Diceros bicornis minor: one gene and its partner. The protein of the gene in region 2 binds, or shares a complex with, the protein of the main gene of each other region. Links are inferred from orthologs where the notes say so. Each region holds a gene or a part of one and is shown on either strand. Other genes may lie near its edges. The genes, in order: ARF6 and SPAG9.

Evidence for each region.
Region 1: the proteins of SPAG9 (region 2) and ARF6 are in contact, whole or in part, in a crystal structure (PDB 2W83), measured with the Homo sapiens proteins. The link is inferred for Diceros bicornis minor from reciprocal best matches to the Homo sapiens genes SPAG9 and ARF6. Residues at the interface, in NP_001124000.1 of Homo sapiens: Lys431, Asn432, Ile435, Val438, Asp439, Thr442, Cys443, Asp446, Val447, Gln449; in NP_001654.1 of Homo sapiens: Glu13, Arg15, Lys34, Phe47, Val49, Glu50, Thr51, Thr53, Lys58, Asn60, Trp62, His76, Tyr77, Thr79.

Annotation. Positions count from the first base shown.
Region 1 is NC_080744.1:2,126,828-2,134,188, forward strand, and holds the start of ARF6 (ADP-ribosylation factor 6), read right to left. Parts: upstream 3,085-7,361; 5' UTR 3,025-3,084; intron 2,948-3,024; 5' UTR 2,635-2,947; coding exon 2,107-2,634; 3' UTR 1-2,106. UniProt on the Homo sapiens protein: GTP-binding protein involved in protein trafficking that regulates endocytic recycling and cytoskeleton remodeling. GTP-bound form plays an important role in the transport of multiple palmitoylated proteins form the Golgi to the plasma membrane.
Region 2 is NC_080757.1:35,322,360-35,330,603, reverse strand, and holds the start of SPAG9 (C-Jun-amino-terminal kinase-interacting protein 4), read right to left. Parts: upstream 3,161-8,244; 5' UTR 3,054-3,160; coding exon 2,751-3,053; intron 1-2,750. UniProt on the Homo sapiens protein: The JNK-interacting protein (JIP) group of scaffold proteins selectively mediates JNK signaling by aggregating specific components of the MAPK cascade to form a functional JNK signaling module.

The DNA of each region.
Region 1 (7,361 bases), on a different chromosome or scaffold from region 2:
CTTGTCTTATTTCTGGATGTTACTACAGCATTGATATTTGTATAACCCATGTTTATGTACCTTAAATGTAATCATCTAAAACACTAAGAATTTATGGTGGAGCTTTGGGAATTTCAAAGGCAACTAAAATGTTCTTATACATGTCTGACAGCTTCTAGAGATATTCTACTGAAGTGAAACAGAACTTTATACTTTAGTTGCATTTTGAATTCAAAAATCCCTCTGCACCATCAGGAGCCTACGACATAGCACCTTTTCTTATCTGCTTTAAGCAAAATGTTTCCCAAAAGTTTTACTTTGAAGAGTTAACTTTTTGTAGCCTTATGCTTCTCGTATGTCTTTGGTAAAAGCTCCATTTACACAATATGGCCAAAGCATGAAGGACCAATACTGTCCAACTAGATACCATGATATCCCGCTCAATTTTAGTTTTCAAATACCCTCATAAACAAAACCAACTCCACCTTTTCCTGCGTACTGCTTTTGCAGTCTATGTTTCTGAAATTCCCTAAGTTTAATTCCTTGAGGATCTCCAAAATTAATCCTTAAGGCTATATAAGAACCAGATGCTGCTTCACAATTCTGTTACCAAGCATTAACATTTGGTTCAAAGTATTATCATACTGGTCTCAGTAATCTAGTTACTGGTCCTAACCAGCTAAGCAAGTAATCTCCTTAGGATCTGGGTATCACCAGTGAGCCCACTGCTTACCCTTGAAGAAAAATGAGTTTACATTCATCGTCATCTGTAGGTTCTTCCTCTTCATCCTACCTCCCCTTTAATTGTCATTCCTCACGTCTACACATCATTCATTCATCACATTTCCTTCATTAAAGGAGATAGTGTATTATTGAACCAACAGGATATCTGACTTGCATGAGTTAATCCTACAACCAGAATTAAATATCCTATAAAACATCATTTCCAGTGTTCTAATTAATGGAGATGTGGATCACTCATCTATAAAAAAAGACTTCTACTGTCAGCTTAATCAGTTGCTGTAATGTGAAAACAAGAACGTGTATTTTTCCAACTAGGTAAAAGGTGCATATAATTTGAATTGTTAAATGCTTTATTCATGAACAAAGTAAACGTTCTAGTAATTTTAAAATTATTGGTCTTAGACATTTGAAACATGGTAAAAGTATATATTCCAGTTTTGCCCAAAAGTCACTTAAGATATCTACAAATATTTCATCTGTGTGTGGCATAGACCATTATTGCTCCATTTTCTGGAAAGAGTCTATTTTTAAAGTTAAAAAAGAGGGAAAACACAGCAAAGTTGCTAACTTTGCAGTGAAAAAAATCTGTGGTTACACTTTCATAGTTTTTTCATAGTTTTATGCAGTGTAAGTTAGCTACGTAATGGGGAACTTGACTTTTATCCCTACTCATGCATGGTGTTATGTTTCAGAATTTAATAGCTGACATTTCAAAGAACTTCTTACATGACCTGTTTTAATATACTGATGTACAACTGGAATATATTACAATGATATTACTCATTATTTGCCACTGTGGGCTAAGTTTACTATACTGGTCTTAGATAAAAGGTCACACTGGAAATTACTAAAAGTTAGAACTCATAAGGGAAGGAGAAAAGGCCTTAAATATAAAAGACAAACGGCAGTTTGATTAAGCAATAATTTTCAGTTTACTAGATGAAACAGACTTGCAACATAGTCTGCATGAATGCAAAATAAGCCATCTACAGCAAGTGATAAGGAAACTGGGCAAAAAGGAAAAAAAGCATACATTGGAAAAAAAGATTCTCTCGAAATAAAAAAATCAAACCATTATTATAAAGGACTTTACCAAGAACTGCTATATTTCCCCATCCCATTTGCTGGAAGTCAACAAGAGCATCTAGCACTTCGTGTTCATGTCAAATGTCAGATCAGAGCATTCTAACGCAAAGCGGGGAAAAAAAAAAAAAGAAACCAACAAAAAAGAAAACCCCTCAACCCCCCCCAAACCGTTGAACAGTAACTCCAGAGTTCGAATTGAAAAGAAGAGAAAGTGGCCATTGGAAGAGGTGATGGTGGCGATAATCCTATGAATGGGTTCCGATTCCTCTCCTTCCGGGGATGGGTGGAGAACGCTCATTAGGATTTGTAGTTAGAGGTTAACCATGTGAGCCCCTCATAGAGTCCGTCCCCCGAGGTGGCACACGAGGGCTGCACATACCAGTTCCTGTCCCGAATCCGGGTCAGGCCCAGTTTCTCCTGGATCTCGTGGGGCTTCATGGCATCGGGCAGGTCCTGCTTGTTGGCGAAGATGAGGATGATGGCGTCCCGCATCTCCCGGTCGTTGATGATGCGGTGCAGCTCCTGGCGGGCCTCGTCGATGCGGTCGCGGTCGGCGCAGTCCACCACGAAGATCAGGCCCTGGGTCCCGGTGTAGTAGTGCCGCCAGAGCGGCCGGATCTTGTCCTGGCCGCCCACGTCCCACACGTTGAACTTCACGTTTTTGTAAGTCACCGTCTCCACGTTGAAGCCCACCGTGGGGATGGTGGTCACCGACTGGCCGAGCTTCAGCTTGTACAGGATGGTGGTCTTGCCGGCCGCGTCCAGGCCCAGCATGAGGATCCGCATCTCCTTGTTCCCGAAGATCTTGGACAGCACCTTCCCCATCGCGCCGGAGCGGCCGGGCCCGGGGGCATTCAGGGTCGCGGGGCCGGAACCAGCCGGGGCGCGCGCTCCGTGGGCCGCCTCGTGGGCAGGCCGCCCGCTCACTCGGGCATCACCCGCCCGCGCCGCTTCCTGCCGCGCCCGCGAGCCCGCGCGGCCGCGCCCTGCCGGGGGGAGCGGGCGGGCCGGCCGGAACCGCCCTCCGCGGCCCGAGCCCGCTCCTAAGCCGCCGCCGCCGCCCGGGCCGGGTCGCCGCCGAGCAGGCCACGCGAGGGGCAGGGGCCGCGTCAGGGGCCGACCGGGACTCGGGCGCTGCCTGCGGAGACACAGAGAGAGGGTTACGGCGGGCTCCGGGAGCACCGCGGCACCGCCCGTCCGGCTGGGCCAGGTTACCTCGGCCGCCGCCCCGAGCGCGGGCTCCTCCGGCCGCCACCGCCTCCGCCCAGCTCTGCCGCCGCCGCCGCCGCCGCCGCCGCCGGAAAAGGCGCCGAGGAAACCGCCTCACTTCCCCTCCCGACCGCGCATGCGCGGCGCGGGCGGCCGTTCGGACGGGCGCGACCCCTGTCAGGAGAGCGGCCCGCGCGCCCGCGTCATGGCGCCGTGCGAGGGGCGGGGCTACGGCGGCCCGGAGGGCTCGCGAATCTCTGACTTGGTCCCGCGGCCCCGGCGCCTGCTTGGCGTCTCCTCCCCTCCCCTCTCCCGGTTCCGCGCTCTCTCGCCGCCCGCCGCCTCGAACCGGAGGAGCGATGCGCGGGGTGGGGCCGCGCCTTCGCGCCCTGACGCCCGGAGCCCCGCGTGGTCTTCCCTCCCCGCGTCTCCGGGCCTCCCGTCTCACTCGTGCCCCGGGCGTCTCCCGGAAGCGCGGGGAGGCCGGGCTGGGTGTGGAGCCGGCGTGGAGTGGCGCCGAGGCCCCGCCTGTGCCCGCCCGTCGGCCCCAGTCCGCGTCCTTAAGTGACGGTGTGACTGGCGGTCCCTGCCGGCCGCGTCCTCGGCTCTGTAGGAGGCCATGGCTTCTCTCTTTAAACACCGCCTCCTTTCAGGGAGATGGCAGCCGCCTCCCGCCACTCCTCACTGGGAGAGGCCCCGGCGGCAGTCAGCGCAGGAGGGACTCCGGCATCGGCCCGGGTCCAGGCCTTCAACCTCGCGCTTCGTGCGCACACCGAGTGTCACGCTGACCTTGCTCTCTGCACCCCGTTTCAGCGTTAAATAACATGCCATTTGTGCAAGACTTTAGGAAAACTTTTTGTTTCAAATGGTTAGTGATAAGGTTAGACTTCAAATAAGGTGAAAGTTTAAAATCAATGAACCAAGGGGAGGAAAAACAGGAAGTAGGTTTTTTTTTTAAAGGAAGATGATATAACAGCATATGGTAACGTACTTTTTATTTAACAATTTAAGAAAATTTGACAGTGGTAGCTTGGTTAAATAATAACCTTATAAGCTTCAGCCTGAAATAGACTTACTAAAGTTATTAATATTCTGACAGTGATCTAATTTGCTTTCCATCTGCCTTAATAGGCACTGTCATAAAACTGAAAGAAGGATTTGAAGTCAGAAGATTGGGGTTCGGTGTGTCACCCCTCCATTTTATAGCTGTGAATTTTTAAGTGTAAACTTTTGTAAACTTTATTTATTTGTAAAATCAGATGAATATGAATGAAAATAGTCGTCATTTATTTAGTGTTCGTAATGGTAAACACTGAACTAAATACTTTAAATGTTTTGTTTTAGTCCGCACAGCAACCACATGAGGTAGCTTTGAGTATTAATATTTTCATATGAGGAAACTGAGAGTCAGAGAGCTTAAGTAATTTTTGGAAGGTCACAGAGCTTAGATTAAATCGTGAATCTACAGCTCATCCTCTTAACCCCGAAATTGTGCTGTCTCCCTGACTACCTCACACAGTTGTTTGGAAGCTCAATTACAGCATTTCTCAAAATGCTTTATACCTATAAAGTGCCATAGTAATTATTGTTATATCTTATGTGGCAAATAGAGGCGGGTGTTGTATTTTGTTTCATTCCAACGTAATAGTTTTCTCACAGCAGATTCCAGTTTTTCCAAGTGGAGGGGAGGTTGATCTGCGGGGCTTGGATTTATTTTTCAGTGGAAGGCATGATATAATTAAAAATATAAGCAACTTGAATCACTAGCATCTTCCAGGCACTGGCACTGTGCTAGGGCTAAAAAAGTTATTTTTGAAAGCCTTCTTGCATTTTTTCCCCACCAGAATGCAAGCTTCATGGAGGCAGAGACTTTGTCTTGTCAACATAATGTTCCCAGTGACAGCATGTAGGTATCAGGAGTTCAGTCATTATTTGAATGAGTGAATGAATGCCTTTTATACCACAGGTAAGACAAAAAAGAAAAGGTACATACTATTTTTATCTGGGGGTTTGAAATAGTATGTTAATTGACAGGCTTTTCATACAGTGGCATATCTTAGAGTACTGGATTTCTGGAGTGGCTCGCCATATGATAAATTATACAATAAATTATTTTAAGTAATAATCATTAATAATAGCCAGAAAATAAATACAAAGACTGAAAAATTTTAACTTTGTATGTGTAATCATGGCAGTCAAAAAAAATAGTAAGTGAATTTCAATAAAACGAAAATATCTGCAAAAAGTAACAATTTAGGCAACTGCTAAATCATACCACCAATGAAACATTTTTTCTCAATTCCTTCTTGAAAGAGTTAACAGTTCAAAAAAGGTAAATTTCAATTTTAAAAATATTATTTCTGTTCAGTGAAATATTTTACAGATAAACTAAAATTTACATTTCTGAAACAAAATATTGGATTTCTCAGTTTGCACTGTTTCACTGTTTTAGACACAAATGAAAGCTCCAAAAATTATAGAAAAGTTGATCTCTGCTGTTTAACTCAAAGCCTGCAAGTGAAGAGAGTTCTCCAGCTTACTTTCAAACCAGGCTTCCCCTTTATAAAACACCATTTCATAATTTCTGATCTGTTCAACAACCACATATAATAATATGCTTATGATATTCCTGACTAAAATACCATCTTATAAGAAAATATTTACTTTTAAAAATGGCTTGGCTTTCTGCTTTTGAAATGAAATGAACAAGTCTTCTTGAACAATAGCACCCCATGCTGTTTTCCCCTATTTCTGGAATTCCTGGAGCTCTTTAAAAGCACTCATGCTGTATGATTCTGTAGTATTTTTCTTTCTATCCCATGCAGTGCCAAGAACAATTCTGACCACATGGTGAGGGTGCAAGGGTGCTCTGACTACATACCTGTTTGAGGAAGGTATCATCCCCTACTTATGGCTTCAGTTTGAGCCCTTCATCCAGGCTTACTCAGAATTGAGTTCTATCTAGAGAAGGCGTAGAGCCCCAGGAAATCTTATTAGCAGTAGAAATAAAGAGTAAATAACAAGCCATAATAAAGTATATCTTTAGATAAAAAAAAAAAATTACTAATCCTTTCCAGCTGAAACTAATTGAGGCTGCAGCGTTAGCTCTCCCTTGGTATTGTACCTATGTGTTTTTAAGCTCTCTCAGAGAGGTGTGTTCTTTTCATCTTTGAATCTTTAGTGCCAGCATAATGCCTAGTATGTAGTAAAATAAAGTTTCAAACATTTTTTGATGATACACAGTAAAAGATTGAGACTCTCAAAAATAAAACTGAGAAATCCAGTGAATACAATGAAAACAATTCATTTATAAGTATTCTTGGTAACTTTAATGGATGCAAATATGGTGGTTCCCTCCCTCATCCTTTCCCTGTGTCAGCTGAGGAATCACTTTCTAGTTCTTCCGATTGATTGATTGATTGATTGCAGAGAAAGAGTCGCCCTGAGCTAACATCTGTTGCCAATCTTCCCCACACCTGTTTTCTCCTGAAAGCCGCAGTGCATGGCTGTATATCCTAGTTGTAAGTCTTTCTAGTTCTTCTATGTGAGCCACCACCACAGCATGGCAACTGATGGACAGATGGTGTGGTTCGTGCCCTGGAAGTGAACCCAGGCCACTGAAGCAGAGTGCACCGAACTTTAACCACTAGGCCATCAGGGCTGGCTTTAGTTCTTCCTCTTTAACCATAAAAAAAGTTGTATCCCAATCGAAACCTTGATGATTAATTTAGTTATGCCTGAGTATGAAGACTTCATCTCATTTTTAGCAATATTAAAAGTGGGAATAATAGAACTAAAAACAAAAGTTTAAATTATAGCTGATAGTTTAGCAAACTGTTTAATAGTTACAGCTTCAGACCATAAAAATAAATGCTGAGGCAACATGGTCTAGTGGCTCAAGTGAAGAGAAAAAGCTAAATTACATCCTTAAACTACTCCCAACACTTGTTGACTTAGGTTTAACTTGGTTAAGTTATTCACCTCATTGATCATCAATTTCTCTATTTCTGTGGTAGAGAAATCTCTCTTAATTGATGAGGGCGGTGTGTATTACTCCTCTTTACAGCTGAAGGAGCTCGGACACTGAGAGGGTGAGCAACTTTCTTAAGATCAAGGACTGGTACAAAGGAGATTCAAACTAAGATTTTTTGATGCAAGTCTGGTGTTCTTTTCTCTATTGTACCAAATTATTTTGTGAACTCAGCAAGCTGGACTAGATAAATGGTTTTCAGCCCTGGCTGCACGTTAAAATCACCTGGGGGCGTTTTTAAACCGCACAAATGCTTGAGCCCCACCCCAGATCAACGAAGTCAAAATATCTGCAGTAGAAGTTCTACCCACCA
Region 2 (8,244 bases):
CAAGAATAACACCTCTCTCCAGATCATTTTCTATCCAGATTTTTGTTTTTAAAAATCACTGATTTACAAATAAATTATTCATAGATTCGCAGGGCTTACTGTGGATAGAGTAGACAGGCAAGGTCTAGATGAAGAAGTGAAATTTAAGCTGAGCCGAAAGTGAGAAGCTAGAAAAGGTGAAGCTCTGAGAGAAAAGCATAGTAGGCCAAGGGAACAGCATGGGCGAAGGCATCAGACAAGACTTGCTTAAGGAATGGAAAGACATCTGGCTGGAGTAGAGAGCCCAAAGAGAAGAGAGGTGAGCAACAGGATGAAGATTTCCTGATTAGCATTTGAAACTGGTCACAAACCCACCTAAAATTAGCCCTCCTTTAGGTTGTTTTTAAAGACTCACAAAAACAGCAGGCTAATTCTACACAAAAACATTCACATAAAAGCAAAGAAGAAGACAGAAGGTATTCAAATTAAGTAATATTATTATAATAAAGATTAAGTTTCTGATTTCTTGTTGAGAATTCCGGCAAGCAAGAGATTATAGCACTTCACACCTCCTAAAACATTCTCACCATTCACATACCCTCCTAAATTTCCACAAAGGTGCTTAGAATTTACTTTACACTTTCTGGGGATGGACCATTTACATACTTTCAAATACTTATGCTGTAAATGCCCTGAGGCACTTTTGCTCTAATAGCAGACTCTTAGTTTCCATATTAAAGGCCACAAACAAAGCACTCACAGAAAATTAAACACAGAATTCACCTCTGCATATTGGCCTAAGAGAGAATGAATTTCTGGGTACTGGGTAAAACTTGATTTATGATCTTACTTGAAGACTGATAACAAGGTGGTTTTATGTTTGTGGTCTGGGAGTTGGCTCATCTAGCGTTTCATCAATGTTCTCTATTCTCAGGTCATGGCCCTTTGCCAAAAGGTTTCATTAGAGAGAATTTATAGATGTGTTTGAAAAAGTATAAATTACAAAGGAAGTCACTGGATAACCCATGTTTAAAAAGTTATTTATTTACGAAATTAATATATAACCCAGAGCCCAGCAGTTAGTCAGTTTTATTTTCTGATTCTGCAACCTGTGGCAGATGGTTTTCCTGGCACGTGTGACCTTGGCATTTTGCCCATGTTTATATGAACTCACAGGAGTTGAAGGCTGGAGGGAGCATTTCTTTTACCCCAGGTGATAGGTCATGCTGGGCCTGCTCCTCACCTGTGTGTATATGTGGTTAATTCCCCAGTCTTTTCCATGTACATCCACACACTGGCAAGGGCCTGTGTGGGCATGAAGATATGGCATGCCCTCTCAGAAGCAGTACATGACCTCTGTTCTATAAATCGTGCTATTAAACTAGTGGAAATTGTGATCCCATCCTTAGATTTTTTTCAACCCCTCCTTCCCTATATACTTCGAAATACTCTTGAAATAAAGTCAATTTTGTTTGGCAAATATAACAGCATTCCTTTAAGTCAAATGACTCACAAAATCAGAACTAAAAATCATCACTACAGTAAAGCTTGAAAAAGAACTATTTGACCTGGTACAAAGGTCTATGTGACAAAAAGTTTAAACGGTGGTACTATTTAGTGTTAGGAAATGAGCTGCGAAACAAATCTCACATTCCAAAAACTTTTCAAGTATTTTTGAAAGAGAACATGTCATTCCTTCAATAATTAGTCATTTAGTTCCCTTCAATCACCATGTATTTAGACACCAGGTGTACTACACGCTCAAGAAACAAAGATGAACAGGACACTTCACTTGCATTAGGTAAGTTCTACAGAAATAATGCCAACACAGCCTGAAAGCTAAAATCCTTGACTGTCTCAAGATGTCCAAGACCGACCACCTGCACCGCAGAGCTCCAAAAGGTTCACAGACTTGAGGGGAGGGCACAGAGATCACTGCTGAGGTGCTAGAGTTGAGAGCCGGCCAAATGCACCTGTAAACTGCAGTCTGAAATGGGTTGCCAGCAGTCACCTACAACCTCCTCAAACCCGCCCGCCCCTCGCCCCGTCCTCTTTATAAATAGAGTTTTTAAAGGGAACTGTCCAAGGTTACCACCTGATATGGAGGAATGCTTTGCTGTGGGATACATAAAATAAAGTTGTATACTCTCCATATTTACAGAGTATTGCTTTACAACACCTAAGTGTTGACAAAGTGTCAACCAAGGCATACAAAACATAAAATTAAACCTCTGTTTCAACAGCGTTAAAACATCAAAAAGAAACTGACCGAAAGAGGGAGATCTCTAACTTCCCAAAGCAGCAACCCCCTGGAAAGGTACTGGAAGCAGCGGAAGTTACATACATATTTAAATGCCACCACCACCCCCCCCTCGTCGTGGTAAAAGTTTGAACCACCATCTGACTATCCTACGGTGGTCGGAAGCTTCCCTAAACTACAAGAGGCGACCAGACATCCTAAAATCTCTGCCCTCAGCCAACCCCAGGTGCCCTCATGCCAGGCTGTGGCTTCCTCCCCGGGCCCTGCCTCCCCCATCTCACTCCCTTCTCCTGGACACTCACTCGTCCGCCTCGGCTTCCGACGCGGGCCGGGGGTCCCGGGGACCTCTCGGCCTCCGGACTCAGTCGGGGGGCCTCGGCCTCAGGCCCGCCCCTAGGAGGCCCGGCGCACCCCCCTCCCGGGCCAGGCCCGGCCGCGACCCGCGACCCCTGGCCCCCGGCCCGCCCTCGGGCCCGGCCCCCGCCCTCCCCGCCGGCCGGCCGGCCCTCACCTCCTCGGCGTGCTTGCGCAGCGCCTTCTCCCGCTCGTACTGGGTGATGAGCTGCTCGTTGTCGTCCCGCAGCAGCTCCAGCTCCACCTGGTGCTCCTGGTCCTGCGCGAACACCGAGTCCAGGTTCTCCAGCACGGCCACCACCAGTGGCATCAGCTCCTTGACCACCTCCTCGTCGTAGCGCCCGATGAGCCGCTCGAACTCGCGGTAGATGGAGCCGGCCAGGCCGGACACCCGCTCCGACATCACGGCCCCAGAGCCGCCGGGCTCCTCCTGGTACACCACACCGTCCTCCAGCTCCATGGTGGCGGGCAGGCGGGCGGGCGGCCCGGGGCGTCGCCGGCTGAGGGGGCGGCACGGGCCCGCACGGGACGGGCCCGGCTCGGGCTCGGGCTAGGGTTGGGGCTAGGGCCGGGGCTGGGCCCGGCGGGGTGGGAGCCCGGGCCGGAGGAGGGGAGGGGTGGGGTAAGCGCCCTCAGCCCAACCGCCGCTGCACCAACTGCCGGGGCGGCCGGGCCTCACGCGCACACGTCACCCGCGGGGCGGGACTCGCGCCGCGTCGGCCCGATGGGCGGGGCCCCGCGGGAGGTAAGGAGCGGCCGGGGCGGGGCCAATACGTCATCGTGCGCCGGCAGGGGCCGTGACGTCAACACTCGGCGCCGCGCGTACAGTGCGTTCGCCAATGGGAAAAACGGCGACAGGAGGGTGGCGACAACTGTCAGCACGAGGCGGGATTTGCAGGGCGGGTCCCAAAGGAAAGGGAAGGGTTCTGCAAGAGTGACTACACGTCCAGAATTAACGTAGCTAACTTCTGTTGCTTTTTACAGCTCACAAGGACTTTCTCATTTGTTCCGCGCAACAGGCGTGGTGCGGTAGACGTTTCGCCTGCGTTTCCCAGACATGGAGAGTAGGCTCGGAGAAGTTGTGGTTCACTCAAGGTCACACGGCTAGAACGGGAAGAAAGCTGATCGGGGACTCAGACCAGTTCTGACTGAGAATTCCGGGGTCAGAGGAAAGTGGGGAAACCTTAACTAAAACCAGGTCTACCTAAGTGATAAGGTGGTCTCAAATAGGATGGAACTATCTGGGGATAATGAGAGTAACGATAGCCTAAAACAGAGGAAGTGCAAAGCATTCTGGAGAAGGGTAAAACTGTAACTCCACGTCTCGCACCTTCCCAAACTCGGGGTTTTCTCTGCTTCTCCTGGCCAGCCTGGGAGAGTGGCATTTCCTGCCTCCAGCCACCCTCTTATCTTCTCGTCTTGAAGGGGGGCGGAGGAGGCAAGAAGGGGGTTGAGGAGTAGAGGAGGAAAGGGGTGGAGTCACTGGGGTGAATAAGTCCCATGATGCGTGAGGTATCCGCCGCCTGGAAAAGCATCACGTGTGGGGAATGACACAACACCCAAGCCTCAGGCGGGCTGAGTCAAGGATCGCTTCCCGGTGTTCTCATCTAGCCTCTGCAAACGGAGCGGAAGACACTCCCAAAAGCCCCTTCTTTCCGCGGCAGGTGACTCAAGAGTTCTGCGGCCCCGGTTCCTCTAAGAATAGGGGGAGGGAAGGCAGGACTTGGATAGACAAGGGTTTAGCGGGGGAATCGGCCACCTCCTGGGATCATAAATACCCTCAACGTGATGTTTACAAGTTCATCTTCTTCCTACCAAGCAGTAGCTAGTCCTCCGAAGTCTCCCAATCTGGACCCACCTGGAGACCCACAAGAACAGGATGGAGGTTGGGCGAGGGCCAATCTATAAACTCAGAAGGACAAAAATGAACGTGCTAAGCCTTATGATGTCAAATGGGAATGAATTTGCGGCCTGTACTGTCCCCTTTCTCACCATCACCCCACATCCACCTTTATATTGTTTGTGTGTGTGTCAGGGTTTCAGGAATGCGGATCAGCTAGTTGGGTGTGAGCCCCAAATGCCCTTTCTCTTCTAAACCTCACATTTGAAAACCAGAAAAAAGGGTCTTCCTCTGGATCTTTGTTTTCTCTTCTTTTTTCTCTTCCTGAGGGCTGTTTCTGAGGCAATCTACCTATATATATATGCCTCTATTTTGCTGGGATTCAGAGGAACAGGAAAACTTAGGACAAAGCTTTACTTTGTCTTTCCACAATATTATATACATAAGAAAATTTAGATAAAAAATGTCTTTATTTTCAGGTATGAGATTATAATAAAGTCTTCATAATAAGTATGCTTCTTTAAATTCAACATAGATATGAGATATATATTTATGTCTTGATTTTAAGCTTCTGCTATCAGAGATCACATTTAATTGTTTAAAATTCAGCCATATGCCCATCAACTGTTGAATAGATTTAAAAAATATGGTGTATGCATCTAACAGAATATTTATTATTCCGCAATACAAAGAATGAAGTACATGCCACAACATAGATGAATCCTGAATATATTATGCTAGGTAAAAGCAACCAGTCACAAAGAGCCATGTATGAAAGATCAGTGGTAGGGCCAGCCCCGTGGCTTAGCCGTTGAGTGCGCGCGCTCTGCTACTGGTGGCCTGGGTTCAGATCCCAGGCGTGCACCGGCGCACTGCTTGTCTGGCCACGCTGAGGCGGAGTCCCACATACAGCAACTAGAGGGATGTGCAACTATCAACAACTATCTACTGGGGCTTTGGGGAGACAAGGGGGAAAAAAAAAAAAAAGATCAGTGGTTGCCTAGGGCTGACTGGAGGAATGAGAGAAAAGAAGGGTGATTGCTAATGGGTATGGGGTTTCTTGGGGAGGTAATGAAAATGCTCTAAAATTGATTGTGGTGATAGATACACGACTCTGAATATACTAAAAACCATTGAATTGTACACTTTAAATTGGTGAATTGTATGATATGTGAATTGTATCTCAATAAAGCTGTTAAAAAATAAAATTTTTGGCTATAATGAGTTTATAGTAAACCCAAATGGAAGCACTTAACTCGGTGAGATAGAATGGAAACAAAACAGCGTTTAAAGTGAGAACCTGGGCCGGCCCCTTGGCTTAGCGGTTAAGTGCGCGCGCTCTGCTGCTGGTGGCCCAGGGTTCGATCCCTGGCACGCACTGAGGCACCGCTTCTCCGCCCATGCTGAGGCCACGTCCCACAAACAGCAACTAGAAGGATGTGCAGCTTGACATACAACTATCTACTGGGCTTTGGGGAAATAAATAAATAAATAAATAAAATTATAAAGTGAGAACCTTGTATTCTAGTATGGACTGGTCATTTTGAAAAAACTTAGGCCAGAAACAAAAAAGTAAATAGTTACTCAGTACTACTCGGTGCCAGGCACTGCGCTAAGGACTGTGAGCCTGAGCTTCTTCATCTGGATAGTGAAGAGGTGTGTTACCGAATCTATGAAGATTGCTTGCAATTCTAAAATCCTATGATTCTCGTTTGTAGGTGGGAGTGAAAGGAGACAGGGCCTTGAGACTGAGTTGCGTTAGTCGACTCCTAATTATGTAGGCGGTAATACTACTTCTTATGCTCAACTGCCTGGATAAATCCCCAGCACCCACCTCTAACCCCAAGGGCCAAGATTATTGTTAAAGACTAAGAGTCATTCAGGAAAACAGGTCATATTGTGGACTGCAGGGTAAATGTTTACTCTTGATTCCTAAAAGGAAGGAAATTCCGTTTCGAGAGATTCTTTGGCCTTGCAAAAATAGTGAGGACAGTAATGGGGCAGCAGAGGGGAGGAGTTGATGAGGGCAGGAAGGGAGGAGTTTTTTCCTAAGCACAATAACTATAATCACTGGAACACTGAAATTACTGGTCCTGTTATTTGTCTAGCCTTCTGGAACTTTTACAGTTATTTCTATGTGAATCAGTTTGTCTGGTTTCACAAACTACATTTTCCCACATGGGGAGAGACGGTTGCTGAGAGAGGAAGGGAAAAGAGGGCTCCCAGTGCACAAGGCCCTCCACTTATGGCGGTGTGAAATGATAAGTGATTCATCACCCCATCCAAACTAGAACGTGCTTGGTGAGGCAGTCTAGCTGTGGAATCCGGGACTCTTGAAAAGTGCCGGAGGATTTTTCTGAGCCCTCAGTTTTCCCTTTGAAAGCCTTTTTAAGGTGTCAGGATACAATGGATAAATATGTCCAGGTTCAAGTTGCAAGAAACCCTCTAGACAAGAGCTATTTCCTTGGAACCCCCTCTTCTCCCCCTCCCCTCAGAACTTTGGACTACCAGAAATTGCCTCTAAGATGAGGAGGCTGAACATATTGCTGAAGCAAGAATCCCAGTATCTGAGGCTATTTTTGATGGGCCCAAGGTATATTGGTCATATTCGTGTTCAGGTCTATTTTCTCCCTACCTCCATCTGACTTGAGTGGAGTGGAAGAAGAGGAGGCCCATCACCCAACTCTCAGTATATTTTTTACACATTGAGCCGAATCTCACTCTGGGAATAAAAGATATGTTTTCAAAACAGTGAGTTGGTTGGATTTTTTCCCCAATTATAGACGAAATGCATACTTACTGTAGAAAATTTGCTAAATACAGAAAAGCACAGAGAGGAAAATTAAAATCACTCAGGTAATGCCATCTCCCAGATATCACATGGTTAACATTTTTGTGTGTGTGTGTGAGGAAGATCAGCCCTGAGCTAACATCCATGCCAATCCTCCTCTTTTTGCTGAGGCAGATTGACCGCGAGCTAACATCCCTGCCGATCTTCCTCTACTTTATGTGGGACACCGCTACGGCGTGGCCTGACAACGGGTGCATCGGTCCACGCCTGGGATCCGAACCCAGGCCACCAGCAGTGGAGCACGCTCACTTAACCACTTTGCCATGGGGCTGGCCACACACATGGTTAACATTTAACAATCTATAAGGTGATCCAGGAAGTCTTCACTGTCTCTGTGGGAAAGGTGTCAAGTGCAAGAGGACTTGTTTTCTCTGAAGCAAGTAAGCATCCGATGAAACTCGTTAGCAAGAAACCTGAATTTTGTCTCCCTACTCCCTCACTTGAGTCTCCTAAGTAAATAGATAAGAAAAGTATAGATTAGATTGATTGTAATTAGTCTTTGGGTTGTCAACATGATGTAATCTACACAGAAATCAAAATATAATGATGTATACCTGAAATTTATATAATGTTATAAACCAATGTTACCACAATAAATTTAAAAAAAAGAAAAAAGAAAGGTATTTTAGGAAACATCAGACAAACCTGGACCCCATTTCCAAAAGAGTCTTTAAATAGATTTCATTGAGGATGACATTGCAAATCCATTGTAGTTTAGAAATTAATTTTGATACATTTATTAACAGTCATGCTGAGAAAGGAAAGAGGATGAGAAGAAACTGTCAAGCAAGCCCTGACAGCCTAGTGGTTAAAGTTCGGCACACTTTGCTTTTGCAGCACAAGTCAGTTCCCGGGCACGGAACCACACCACTCCCCTGTCAGTAGCCATGATGTGGCGGTGGCTCACACAGGAGAACTAGAAGGGCTTTAAAATATACAACTATATACTGGGGCTCTGGG